3 linked regions of the Canis lupus familiaris genome follow. The protein of the gene in region 1 interacts with the protein of each later gene in a pairwise test. Links are inferred from orthologs where the notes say so. Each region holds a gene or a part of one and is shown in the gene's direction. Other genes may lie near its edges.

Region 1 (3,641 bases):
AGGCAGGGAGTCAGGTAGGCTTAGTGTGAGGAAGTGCTCCGCCCTAAGTACTAGGACGGGAGTCAGATTCACGGTGTCCCCTCTGCTGTTTCGTAGCCAAAAGAGCCCAGAGTCAGATGCTCATTTTGTCACTCGCTCCTTCCTTCGGGTCATTTACAAAGCACGTAGGGAAGGCCTGTTGTTTGCCAGGCACTGGGCTGGGTCCAAGGGATCCCAGATGAGGAAGATGGGGTCCCGGCCCTTGAGGTGCTCCCAGCTGAGTGGGCAGGACACATGCCAGAAACCAGCATGACCTAGACAGTCCTGGAAGCCAGGAGGCCAGTGCTTAGGATGCCAGCTTTGAGGTCAGCCCAGATCTAGGTTTGGATCCTGGCTGAGACCCAAGGGAAATTCTGAAGTACTCTGCCCCTCAGTTTCTCCACCTTGCAGCGGGCAAGAATAACAGGAGCTGCTTCACAGGGTTGCCGAGAAAGTTAACTAAAATAATCTCCGGGGAGTGCTCGGCATGTAGTAAGTGGCCAATAAATGGTGGCTTTTATTTTAAAGATTGATTGATTGATTGATTGATTTGAGAGACACAGAGAGAGTGAGAGAGAGAGAGAGAGAGCACGAGCAGGGTGAGGGGCAGAAGGAGAAGCAGACTCCCCACTAAGCAGGGATCCTGACGCAGGGCTCCATCCCAGGACCCTGGGATCATGACCTGAGCTGAAGGCAGACGCTTAACCAACTGAGCCACCCAGGCGCCCCAATTGGTGGCTTTTAATATCAGTTGTCATGGGGGGGGGGCGAGGGTACATAACAGAGTCCCTTTTCCTGCCGGTGTCCATGAAACCACTTCAGTCCCCATGGTGGCTTCCCACAGATGTGCCTCAGTTTACCACTTTTCTCCCCACCTGCCACAGTTAAGGGCTGTGAGACAAGATTGGTCTCCGTGCTGCCACCTGAGCAGAAGCCCCCCTCAGCCTCGGGTGTCCCGTTGTCCCCCCCCCCACCCCTCCACCCCCATCAGCACACCCACCACCCGCGCTCAGCGGGGCAGTGAGGTGGCACGGGGCTGGGTGGCCCTAGGCGGTGTCTGCTGTCCTCCCTCCTGCACCCACGCCCAGGTCCGGTGACGTGGCCCAGGACCCCAGGGCCATCCCCGCAGGCAGGCTCGGGCCATCTCCGCTCCACGCTGCCCTGAAGTCAGGCTCCCCCTCCTCGTTCTCTCCCTCCCATCTCTCCGCTCTGCTCTCCCGCATTGCTCTCGCTCTCGTTCTCTTCCGTTAAATAATACCGTGATGGATTGTGAAAGGTACTTAGCTGAGTCACGGAGTTTAGAGATGGAAGCGACCAATTAGATCATCAACCTCATCTCTCTCCTGAGGAGAGGCAGAAAATAGGAGACAACGATAAACAATTTTATTGGGATATTAATTTAGGCGCCCGAAGGCCTTGACTCGTGTCTCTTAATATAATGCAGTGGATTTTTTTTTCCCCTTCCCTACTAATGTAATAACGGGGCCATTTTGTGGGCAGTTGGTTTGCATGATGGCTTTTGTTCCCCTCCTTTTCCCACGGAAGGTCCAGATGGAGTTTCGGAGGAGCTGGGAGCGCTGGCGGCTCGAGCACTTGCACGTGCAGAGAGACAGCAGCATGAGGCCCCTGAAGTGCCCCACCAGCAGCCTGAGCAGCGGGGGCACGGTGGGCAGCAGTGTGTACGCGGCCAGCTGCCAGGCCTCCTGCAGCTAAGACCCCAGCACCCCCTCCCTGTGGTCCCGCTGCGGGCCGGCTGGCTGTCCAAGGTGGGAGAGGCCCTGTGGGGCTGGGCGGGGAGGGACATGCTCACCTACATCCCTGCTTTCCCTTCCCAAACCCATCAGACAGGCAAATGGGCAGTGCCTCCTGGGACCCATGGCCACATTTCCTCTGAAGAGAAGCAGCTTGCTAATTTGATCACGGCGGCAGGAGAAGAGAAAAACCGATGGCTGCTATGACAAGGAGGATTTCTTGCCGTTAAGCCACCAGGCCCCTGGGGTTCCCCAAGACAGAGCAGCAAATCAGCCCCACATTCACACCAAGGTCAATGGCTTATTAGCGGGATGGCGGTTTGCAAGAGGAGGTGGTTCAGGAAGAGGCCTGTGTAGCCTCAGCCAAGCAGAGCTTAGGGAAGGTGAGCCAACTCTGCTTGCCTCCAGTAGGGTCACCACCCCTACTGCCTCCTCATTAAGGGACACTGTTCCTGTTTGTCACTTGTTCATCTTGCCCCCATATCTCACCACCCAGCTTCTCTGTGGGGGCTTTGTTTGGGCACCACCGCAGCTCTTTCTAGAAACGGCTGTGGATAGTGTTGAGAACGAATGCTGAGAATGTGCCCAACAGTTTCCTTTGCTGGTGTGCCCACTTCTCCCGTGGGTATTTGACCTGCCTCGGTATGCTGCCTGCCGCCACTCTGCCCGGGGAACCAGGGCAGGCCTAGTGCCGAGGAGCCCAGCTCTCCATGTGAGCTCTGAATTCTATTCTAGAGATGTTCTAGAGTCCTCTGGGATTCAACTCGGGAACTCTAGGAAATGCTCGCGCTGGGAGGTATAGTGTACCTGCAACCGTTGGGAACCCAGCAAGGCTGAAGCTTTATTTCCACCTCCCTGGGGAAAGGCTTTTTGTGACCAGATTATGTACCTTGCATGGGAGTTTGGGTGTGCCCTCTAAGAGCTGTGACCAAAAAGGGACCTCTGGGGGAAACTACCAGTTGCCCCTGTTACCTCGGAAGCTGTCTTCCCCTTGTCCCTGGTTTCTTTACCATGAAAGTCCGCAACTTGGGAGCCTGTATATACTTTATTCATTTTTCTTTATTGCTGTGAATGGTCTGCATGTGCAAATGTGTGACTCTGATTTCTCCCACCTGATGGAAAAAAAAGAACGAAACCATTGTGATTGTGATGTTGTTGAGGGGAGTGAGGTAGTAACTGAATTGACTCAGCCACATGTTGAGCCAATCGGTGTTTTCCCTGCCTCCAGTTTCATCCCATAAATAATGACCAGCAGAGAGGCTACACAGGGAAAACCTCTCAGTCCTGCCCCCACCACCAGGAGAGGGCAGACATGTAGCAACACTACAGAAACCCAGACAAAAGGGAAAGAGCCATCCCAGGGAGGCTGGCAGTGAAGTTTGTGGATGCAAAGGAAGTTTCCCAAGTAGGAGAGAACTCTTAGAGGAGTCCAGACCTCCTGGGAAGGCAGAGGGAGAGGCTTTGGGTGAATTTCTTTATGGATCCATCCCTCCCTCCTTCTTTTTAAGTGGTGGGGGACCCTCCCCAGAGCCTTGCACCAGACACATTTTCCTGTGCTTCTCAGAGAGGCATGTGATGTACGGGGAAAATAATAATGGGACATAAAACACATCAAGCAGAAAATTTCTTATACTTCAGCTTCAGTGAAGTGTTGTGTCTTTGTTAATGGGGAAGCTGAACCTCAGGCTAAAGGCGAAGTATGCAGAATGGCTCCTGGAGAAAATGTAGAGAGGTGGAGGATGGGGGCACCCCTGCTTCCCCAGAATAAGAGAGGATTTTCCAGCAGGCCCCACTCCTTGACTTTCTCTTTGGAGGGGAGAGCAGGAAGGGGGAAGATGAGTGCCAGTGAGTTGATGGCGGCGGACAGCTCTG
Region 2 (3,581 bases), on another chromosome or scaffold:
CCTTTGGGACGCTGCTCACTGAGGGTGTCCCTGCTCTCCCACAAAGGCATCTACATCCTCATCGCCGTGGGCGCTGTGATGATGTTCGTTGGGTTCCTGGGCTGCTATGGGGCCATCCAGGAGTCCCAGTGCCTGCTGGGGACGGTAAGGTCGTGAGTGGGGCTGGGGGACACAGAGACAGAGCCTGGAGCTCTGCTGGGTGCATCCCTTGCCAGTGTGGGAGGCCGTGGAGGGGGGCTCGCAGGGCAGCCTGGGGACCTAGCCCAGAACGTCAGCCCCAACGTCCCTTTCTGGTCCTGAAATCCGGTCCTGGTTGACTGCTGGGATGTCTGGTTCCAAACTCAGAGTTCCACAGTTTTCCTCTCTGGTTTTAGTAAAAAGCCAGAAACAATAGGGCCATGTCCCTTGGGCCAACCTCCACGGGGACACAGAGGCCCAGGCAGTCGGGAAACGGGGCAGTGGGTGGCCGTGTCACGATGCTCCCTTCCCGTGGGCAGAGGGAGAAGTGGGGTGTGGAAGGGGCTTCCTTGGGACCCCAGCCCCAGCCTGTAGGGCTGCTGAGAACACTGGCATGTCACTGCTGGGACTGACTCTTCCCCCTCGCTGCTTTTCACCTCCGCACGGCTGCTCCCTGGATGGGACGTGCGGAGTGGAGGCCAACCCCACACATGCACCTGCGGGTCACTCGGACGTCCGGCATCTGCGTGACCCCACGCCTGTTCTCACCCCGCATGTCTCTGCCCTCCCCTCTGGGTCCTGCATGGCCTTCCCAGTTCTTCACCTGCCTCGTCATCCTGTTTGCCTGTGAAGTAGCTGCCGGCATCTGGGGCTTTGTCAACAAAGACCAGGTGAGCCCGGGATCACGGTGGTGGGGCCCATCCCAGCAGGGTCAGGAGGGAGGGGTGCCCGCCTGCTGCTCAGGTTGGGCCTACCCTGGGATCGCAGGGTGCTCTTTGGGGCTCCCCCTGGGGCCTGCCTGGTAGAAAGGCCACGGAGGGCTTTCTGGAGGAGGTGGCGCGGGGGCTGAGGAGAAGGCAGGGCCACCTGTCTCCCAGCCTCGAGTGGTGATGGGGGGCAATCCTGGTCTACCCTGGAAGCATTATCTTCTCAAGAGAGCCAGGTGAACCGCTTGCCCCCCTCTCTGGGGTGGTCCTTGCTGTGGGGTGACCTCGGCCCTCCCGCACACCCTCCCCCCAGATCGCCAAGGATGTGAAGCAATTCTACGACCAGGCTCTGCAGCAGGCCGTGGTGGACGACGAAGCCAACAATGCCAAGGCCGTGGTGAAGACCTTCCATGAGACGGTGCGGCAGGGGGTGCTGGGGGTGCAGGAGGGTTGTCCTCCGTGAGTGAGGCCTGGCTGGGGTTGAATCTGGTCTCCGTGGGGCACTGGAGACCTGGAAGCCCTTCTCCTGGAGGGCCGTGGAGCCCTATCTGGGACCCCCCCCCCCCCCCCGCCCAGGGGATTGTCTGGGACCTGCAGGTCCCCTGTGTGAGCCAGATGGGCAGTAGGAAGGCCTGGGTGTGGGGGTCTCTGAGCAGCACAGCCAAGGGTGGAGGGGATGAGGAGTCCTGGGCTGTTCTTCTTGAGGAGCAGACCCTCCCTGGCTGGGGACACCCCTGGGGCTTGGGCAGCCCACGGGGTGTATGTCCCTGGCCGTGTCCCTGTGGTCCTCTGTGCACACGGCCCGGGCTGACCGCAGGTGTCCTCCGTGCAGCTCAACTGCTGTGGCTCCAGCACGCTCTCCGCGCTCACCACCTCCATGCTCAAGAACAGCCTGTGTCCCTCTGGCAGCAACGTCATTAGCAACTTGTTCAAGGTACATGGAGCCCACTGGGCCGCCCAGGGTTGGCCCCACGTCGCGTCCAGCAGCCCAGCTGGGTTGGGCCCCTGGCTCTGCACACAGCACCTTCCGTTTCCACATCTGCTTTATTTATTTTAAACATTTTGAGAGAGAGAGTGAGCGAGAGGGAGAGGGAGAGAGAGAGAGAGAGAGAGAACACGAGCAGGAGGAGGGGCAGAGGGAGAAGCAGACTCCCTGCTAAGCAGGGAGCCCAACATGGGGATTGATCCCAGAACCCGGGACCTGCCCTGAACCCAAGACAGATGCTTCACCCGCTGAGCCTCCCAGGCGCCCCCTCCACATCTGCTTTAAAATGGACGTGAGATAACCTGGCAGAGACCAGGCCCTGGTGGCACGTCTTCAGGGAATCGAGCCCCTCCCTTCTCTTGCCACAATGACCCCGAGCCGCTGCACTGAGGGGCCCGAGGGCCTGCACTCCTGACCGTCGGCGGGCTGTCCCCCACAGGAGGACTGCCACCAGAAGATCGATGACCTCTTCTCGGGGAAGCTGTACCTCATTGGCATTGCAGCCATCGTGGTGGCCGTGATCATGGTGAGTACACGGGCCAGGCATCCGCGTGAGGCGGCCCCACAGTCTCCGGGTGCTGACAGTCCCACCCACCCGTCCCCACAGATCTTCGAGATGATCCTGAGCATGGTGCTCTGCTGCGGCATCCGGAACAGCTCCGTGTACTGAGCGGCCCCGGCTGCACCTGCTGCGGGGAGGGCCGCTGGGAACCCTGCAGGGCCCCTAGAGTGACCGGACATTCTGAGGAGGGGCCGTCAGCGCCTGTGTATATAACTTCTCTGGTATTACTCTGCTACACTTATTAGCCTTTTTACTTCTGAGGTTTTCTGTCCTGAAGTCCCCCGTTACCTTTTGGGGCTGAAGTCACCTAGAGACGGCGTGTGAGTGGGCCTTGGGGACCGTGAGGCAGGGGCCGCTCTGCTTCTGCAGCTGCTTGGGGGCTCCGCCTGCTTAGTCAGGCCTCTCCCGGGGGCCCGGGGGCCCCGGGGCCCACCCACCTGCCCACGGGCTGCACGGCTCATGCCTTTTAACCCTCGTTCCTGTCGCCACTTGTCCCGAGCCGGGTCTGCCAGCAGCCTTCACCTTCAGTGCACCTGTCCTCTCTAACTCGTCACCTTCAGCTGTAATTACATCTTCAAAGTCATTCAATAAAGAAGGAAAAACCGGGCATGCTAACAAACTGTCTGGCCCCTTCCTGTGGCTGCGGCGTCTGAGACCCAGGGCGCAGCTGGAGCGGCAGGTGGGCCGGCATGGGTGAGGCTTGGCTCAGCTCCGCGGACCTTGCAGGGTGTGAGGGGCCCCTTTGGTGGGCCCGGTGCCACCGTCAGCAGCTTCCACCCAGCTCACTCCCCTACCCACTCTGTGGACACCACTGCCCAGAGGGGGCACTCAGGTAATGTGGCGTAGAGCCTGCAAGACTCCCCTCCATCCTGGGGGCCCGCTCTGTAGAGGACAGGCACACTGACCCTCCCATGCTCCGAAGGGACTCTTCAGAGCTTCTAGGTGTTCCGTGGAGAAGCTGGGGAGCAAGGTCTCAGCCACTGTGTGCGGAGTCCACCCGACCCACCCCCGTCCTGGACCGGGGCCCAGCTGCCTCCTCCCACCCCCACCCCCTCGGGAGTGCTGGGTGATGTCACCATGAGCTGAGTGCAGGCACTGACCTGGTGTATGCTGAACTGGCCCCTTGAGGCCATGAGGGCCTGGCTGGGAT
Region 3 (4,380 bases), on another chromosome or scaffold:
TAGGGTACGTCCTGAACTCTCGCTTTGCTCACTTAGCTTTATACTTCTTAGCCGAGATAATCCAACTCCCTTCCGTTGCCGTCATCTGAAATGGCACATCCGCACGGGCCAGGGCTTCCCACTAAATCATCACACGCTAAGTCAGACGGCTTAACTTTTATCCCCTATTTACTCTGCGCTTTGCCTGAGTGTCAGTTTTACCAGTCTTTTAGCAAATACTTGAAGGTTCTGTCTCAGATTCCAGCCAGAATGTGGAAGAGGCAGAGCCTTGTACGAGGAATTAAGTAAAAGCCTTTAATTGAAGACTCCGCTCTACTGAGTGTATGACCCCAGACAGAAATCTTAAGCGGTTTGCCTTTCAGCTAAATTAGGAGACTGATGTATGCTTTAGAACATCAGGGAAGTCCAAAAAAAAAAAAAAAAAAAAGAATCGAACATAAAACTTTCTTTCGGCACCACTTAAAAATCAACAAATATTCGTTTGTTGGGTTCCACATGTACTTACCGCTTGCGAGGATTTGTGCTAGGTTCTTGGACTACGGGGGACGGACAAAGAAATTCCCATCCCTCCCAGGTCTGAAGACACGTTAAATCGTTTTCGCAAAACGCACGATCCTAACTTTACACGGTGCTGTGCAGACAGAGGTGGAGGGCGCTCCCGGGGCGTGAGGAGGGCTCCGCCCTCTGCTGGGGGGTCGGAAACGTGACATCCGAGCTTCGGAGCTGAGAACGAGGAGCTTGAACGACCGTGTGAAGGTCCCTCCAGCACGCAAGGGCTCCTCTTTTTTTTCTTTTTCTTTAAAGATTCATTTATTCATGAGACACACATGGGGGGGGGGCGGAGGGAGAGGCAGGCCCCACGCAGGGAGCCCGACGCGGGGTCGATCGCGGGCCCGGACCCCAGCCGGAGCCGAAGGCGGACGCTCCCCCGAGCCCCGGGGCCTCCCTCCGGCCGCTCCCTGCCGCCTGCTGCGTGCCGGCCCGGGGCGGGTGGCGGTCCAGGGGGCGCGCGTCCGGGAGAACAAGAGGCGCAGGGGCGCTCGCTGGAGCGTGGGGGCAGGCTCCCTACCTGCGCGCCCGCCGCTCGGCTGGCCCCGAGGCCGGAGCGAGGCCGGAGCGAGGCCGGGTGTCGCGGGGCGCCGTCGCCGTCGCCGGGGCTGCGGGCACAGGGACAGAAGCCCCGTCGGCGCGCGCACCCGGAGCCGGGGCTGTGGGGCCACCGCGGCCCGGCGGAAGCTGCCCCGCCCCGCCCCGCCCCGCCGGGCTTCCGGGCGGAAACGGAAGTTGCCGGCGGCGCGCGGCCCCCGGCCCAGGGCGGCGGGCCGAGCGGCTCTCGCGAGAAGGGCGGCGGCGCCGCCGGGAGGGACGCGCGAGGGGCGGGGCGGGCCGGGCCGGGCCTGGCCGGGCCGGGGCGCGTCGTCGGGCGGGTCTCGCGAGAAGGGCGGCGGCCGAGTGGCGGCGGCGGCGGGCGCATGGAGGGCGCGGCGGCGGGCGAGCGGGCGCCGCTGCTGGGCGCGCGGCGGGGGGCGTTCGCGGGCCGGCGGGCGGCGTGCGCGGCGGTGCTGCTGACGGAGCTGCTGGAGCGCGCCGCCTTCTACGGCGTCACGGCCAACCTGGTGCTGTTCCTGAACGGCGCGCCGTTCGGCTGGGAGGGCGCGCAGGCCAGCCAGGCGCTGCTGCTCTTCGTGGGCCTCGCCTACCTGGTGTCGCCGTTCGGGGGCTGGCTGGCCGACGCGCAGCTGGGCCGCGCGCGCGCCATCCTGCTCAGCCTGGCGCTCTACCTGCTGGGCATGCTGGCCTTGCCGCTGCTGGCCGCGCCCGCGCCCCGCGCCGCGCTCTGCGGGGCCCCGCGCCCCACGCGCCTCCGCAACTGCTCCGCGCCGCCCTGCCCCGACGCGCCCGCCCGCTACTGCGCCCCGGCCGCGCTCTCGGCGCTGGCGCTCGTCGGCCTCGGCGTGGGCGCCGTCAAGGCCAACGTCACGCCCTTCGGGGCGGACCAGGTGAGCGGGGGCGGGGGGGCGGGCGAGCGGCGAGCCCCGAGCACCACACCCCCGGCCCCACCGGGGCCCCCGGGGCGACCTCGGCCACGGGTGCAGAGCCGCGGGGCCGCCACGGACCGACGCTCCGGTTCCCCTTTTTTTTTCTTAAGATGTTACTTATTTACTCATGAGAGGCACAAAGAGAGGCAGAGACCCAGGCCTCTAGAGGGAGGAGCAGGCCCCCTGCGGGCAGCCCGCCGCGGGGCTCCAGCCCGGGACCCCAGCCCGGGACCCCGGGGTCACGGCCTGGGCGGGCGCCTCGCGGCTCCGGGCTCTGAAGAGGCCACGTGACGCTCAGGCCGCGGCGCGTCCCTGTCAAGTCAACGCGGAGGGTGCGCGCTTAGCCGCAGACGGCAACTATGCTGCAGGGAAACAGAAGTGGGAAAGGACCGGCGGGCCGAGGCCAGGTCCCGTGGGGCTTTTAAAAGACTCGTGGGTGTGCTTCGAGTACAGTAGGAAGCTGTTGCGGGTGTGCCGCGTCGAGCGGCGTCTTCGAGAAGCAGGTCCTCCGAGCGCAGGTGCGCCCAGCAGCTGTGTCCTGGCAGCCAAACCTGCCCACTTCCTGCTTCGGGGGGGCCTGCGAGCCAACAGCGAGAGTGGTTCTTAGGTTCTCAAGCGGTAGGGAAAAAGCAGAGTCTCCTGTGACAGGGGAAAAATTTATGAAACTCAGACGTTGGTCTCCCTAATTAAAGCTTCATCGGAACAGTCACGGCCCGCTGGGCCCGCACCAGCTGTGAGTGGCCGCTGTCACCTTGCAGTAGCACAACTGGGGACTTGTGACAAAGGCCAGATGTCTCTCAACTCAATACCTAAAACGTGTGCGCCCCGCCCGTTCACAGAAGAAGTTTGTGATGTGTGCAGACTAGGGAGGGAAGTGAGAACCTCAGGCGTACCAGAAGGCAGTCCATCATGCTGGCCGGGTTACAGAGAGGGATTTGGACGGAGGTGGGTCGAGTGGACACAGAGTGAAGAGCGTGGAGGTGGGGTCGGCAGCCGCAGGGAAGATGATCCCCAGGTGTTTGTGCTGAACTTGACGTGACGGCACATACGGCTTACTGTTCTCCAGGCCCTCTCTCCGTGCTTCATCAGTCGTCGTGACGCTGCTGCTGCTCTTGTGCCCATTTTATACATAAGGCTTGAGAGGTAAATCATTTGCCCAAAGTCACACAGCTAGTGCCTGACTGAGCCAGGATGCAGGTGCCTGTCCTTAGTCTGAGCTTTAAGTGGACCCTGTCCGGCTACCCTTTACAGTGAGGTGGCGCCTTGCTGAATCTCAATAATGTTGAGAGATCGCTGCCTCATGTTCCAAATTCTTCTCTGCGCCAGGAAATGAGCATGTGTTACACACATGACCTCGTTGACTCCCCCAAGGAGGCGGAGGTACAAAAGATGACTTCTTGTAGTGAGTGGGCAAGCCACGGTTGTAGTCCGGGTCTGATTTCCTGACCTCTGTTTTAACCATGGCTTCGAGATGTGCTTTCTGAGACCTACCTAGCACAGCTGGGTCATAGTCGGGTCTCAGAGCCCAGGCTCGTGGCTTCCGTCTTGGGTGTCATCAGTGAAGGCGCAGCATTGGCAGCGCAGTGAAGCCCCTTGAAAGACACGGCCCACATGCCATGTGAATGTTTGTCGTGTCCTCACTGTACTTGTTACTTTGCCTTCTCGTAGCCTCAGGACACTCTACAGACTGCATGTGTCTATCTTAACACAGGCTGAGGACGTTTGACCGGCCCAGAACCACAGCAGGGCAATAGGAGCTGTGTTTGGACCTGGGCAGGCCAACATGAAGTCAGTTGTCTCCAGTCCATGATGGATGAGCAATCAACATTTCATAAAGGAAGGAGTGGTCTTATAGAGGTTATCGAGAATGCATGACAGGATGTGTAATAACGTGTCGACGTTAAAAAAAAAAAAAAAGTGCTCTCTTCTGTGAGTTAACTGGGCTAATCTCTTCAAATATGACACTATCCTGAAAGAAATAGGGCCACTCTAGATTCAAGGATGTTAGACTTGAGAAACAAAGGCAATGTGTGTGTTCTGATTGGATCCCTGGTGTTTTGTTTTGTTTTTTTTTTAAAGCCATTTTGAGGGACAATTAGGGTAATTTGATGATAGACCACACATTAGATAAAATGGCATTGATGTTCAATTTCTTGGGTGGGATAATGGTTTGTGGTCATGTAGAAGAGTGGCTTTATTTTTAGATTCATATGGGGTGAAATGTTATCATGCTGCAATTTATTTTTAAATCATTAAGCCTCAAGAGTATTTCATTTATAAATGAAAAACACTGGGAATCCAATCAGGACACACACATTGCCTTTGTTTCTCAAGTATAACG

The links.
Region 2: the proteins of GLP1R (region 1) and CD81 interact in a protein complementation assay, tested with the Homo sapiens proteins (2 studies listed by BioGRID). The link is inferred for Canis lupus familiaris from reciprocal best matches to the Homo sapiens genes GLP1R and CD81.
Region 3: the proteins of GLP1R (region 1) and SLC15A4 interact in a protein complementation assay, tested with the Homo sapiens proteins (2 studies listed by BioGRID). The link is inferred for Canis lupus familiaris from reciprocal best matches to the Homo sapiens genes GLP1R and SLC15A4.

Annotation. Positions count from the first base shown.
Region 1 is NC_049233.1:8,211,495-8,215,135, forward strand, and holds part of GLP1R (glucagon-like peptide 1 receptor), read left to right. Parts: intron 1-1,563; coding exon 1,564-1,683; coding exon of another isoform or gene 1,684-1,731; exon of another isoform or gene 1,732-1,862; coding exon 1,863-1,976; 3' UTR 1,977-3,641.
Region 2 is NC_049239.1:46,926,072-46,929,652, forward strand, and holds the end of CD81 (CD81 antigen), read left to right. Parts: intron 1-46; coding exon 47-144; intron 145-773; coding exon 774-848; intron 849-1,197; coding exon 1,198-1,302; intron 1,303-1,716; coding exon 1,717-1,818; intron 1,819-2,308; coding exon 2,309-2,395; intron 2,396-2,476; coding exon 2,477-2,539; 3' UTR 2,540-3,050; downstream 3,051-3,581. UniProt on the Homo sapiens protein: Structural component of specialized membrane microdomains known as tetraspanin-enriched microdomains (TERMs), which act as platforms for receptor clustering and signaling.
Region 3 is NC_049247.1:2,994,697-2,999,076, forward strand, and holds the start of SLC15A4 (solute carrier family 15 member 4), read left to right. Parts: upstream 1-1,460; 5' UTR 1,461-1,472; coding exon 1,473-2,000; intron 2,001-2,233; exon of another isoform or gene 2,234-3,182; intron 3,183-3,750; exon of another isoform or gene 3,751-3,999; intron 4,000-4,380. UniProt on the Homo sapiens protein: Proton-coupled amino-acid transporter that mediates the transmembrane transport of L-histidine and some di- and tripeptides from inside the lysosome to the cytosol, and plays a key role in innate immune response.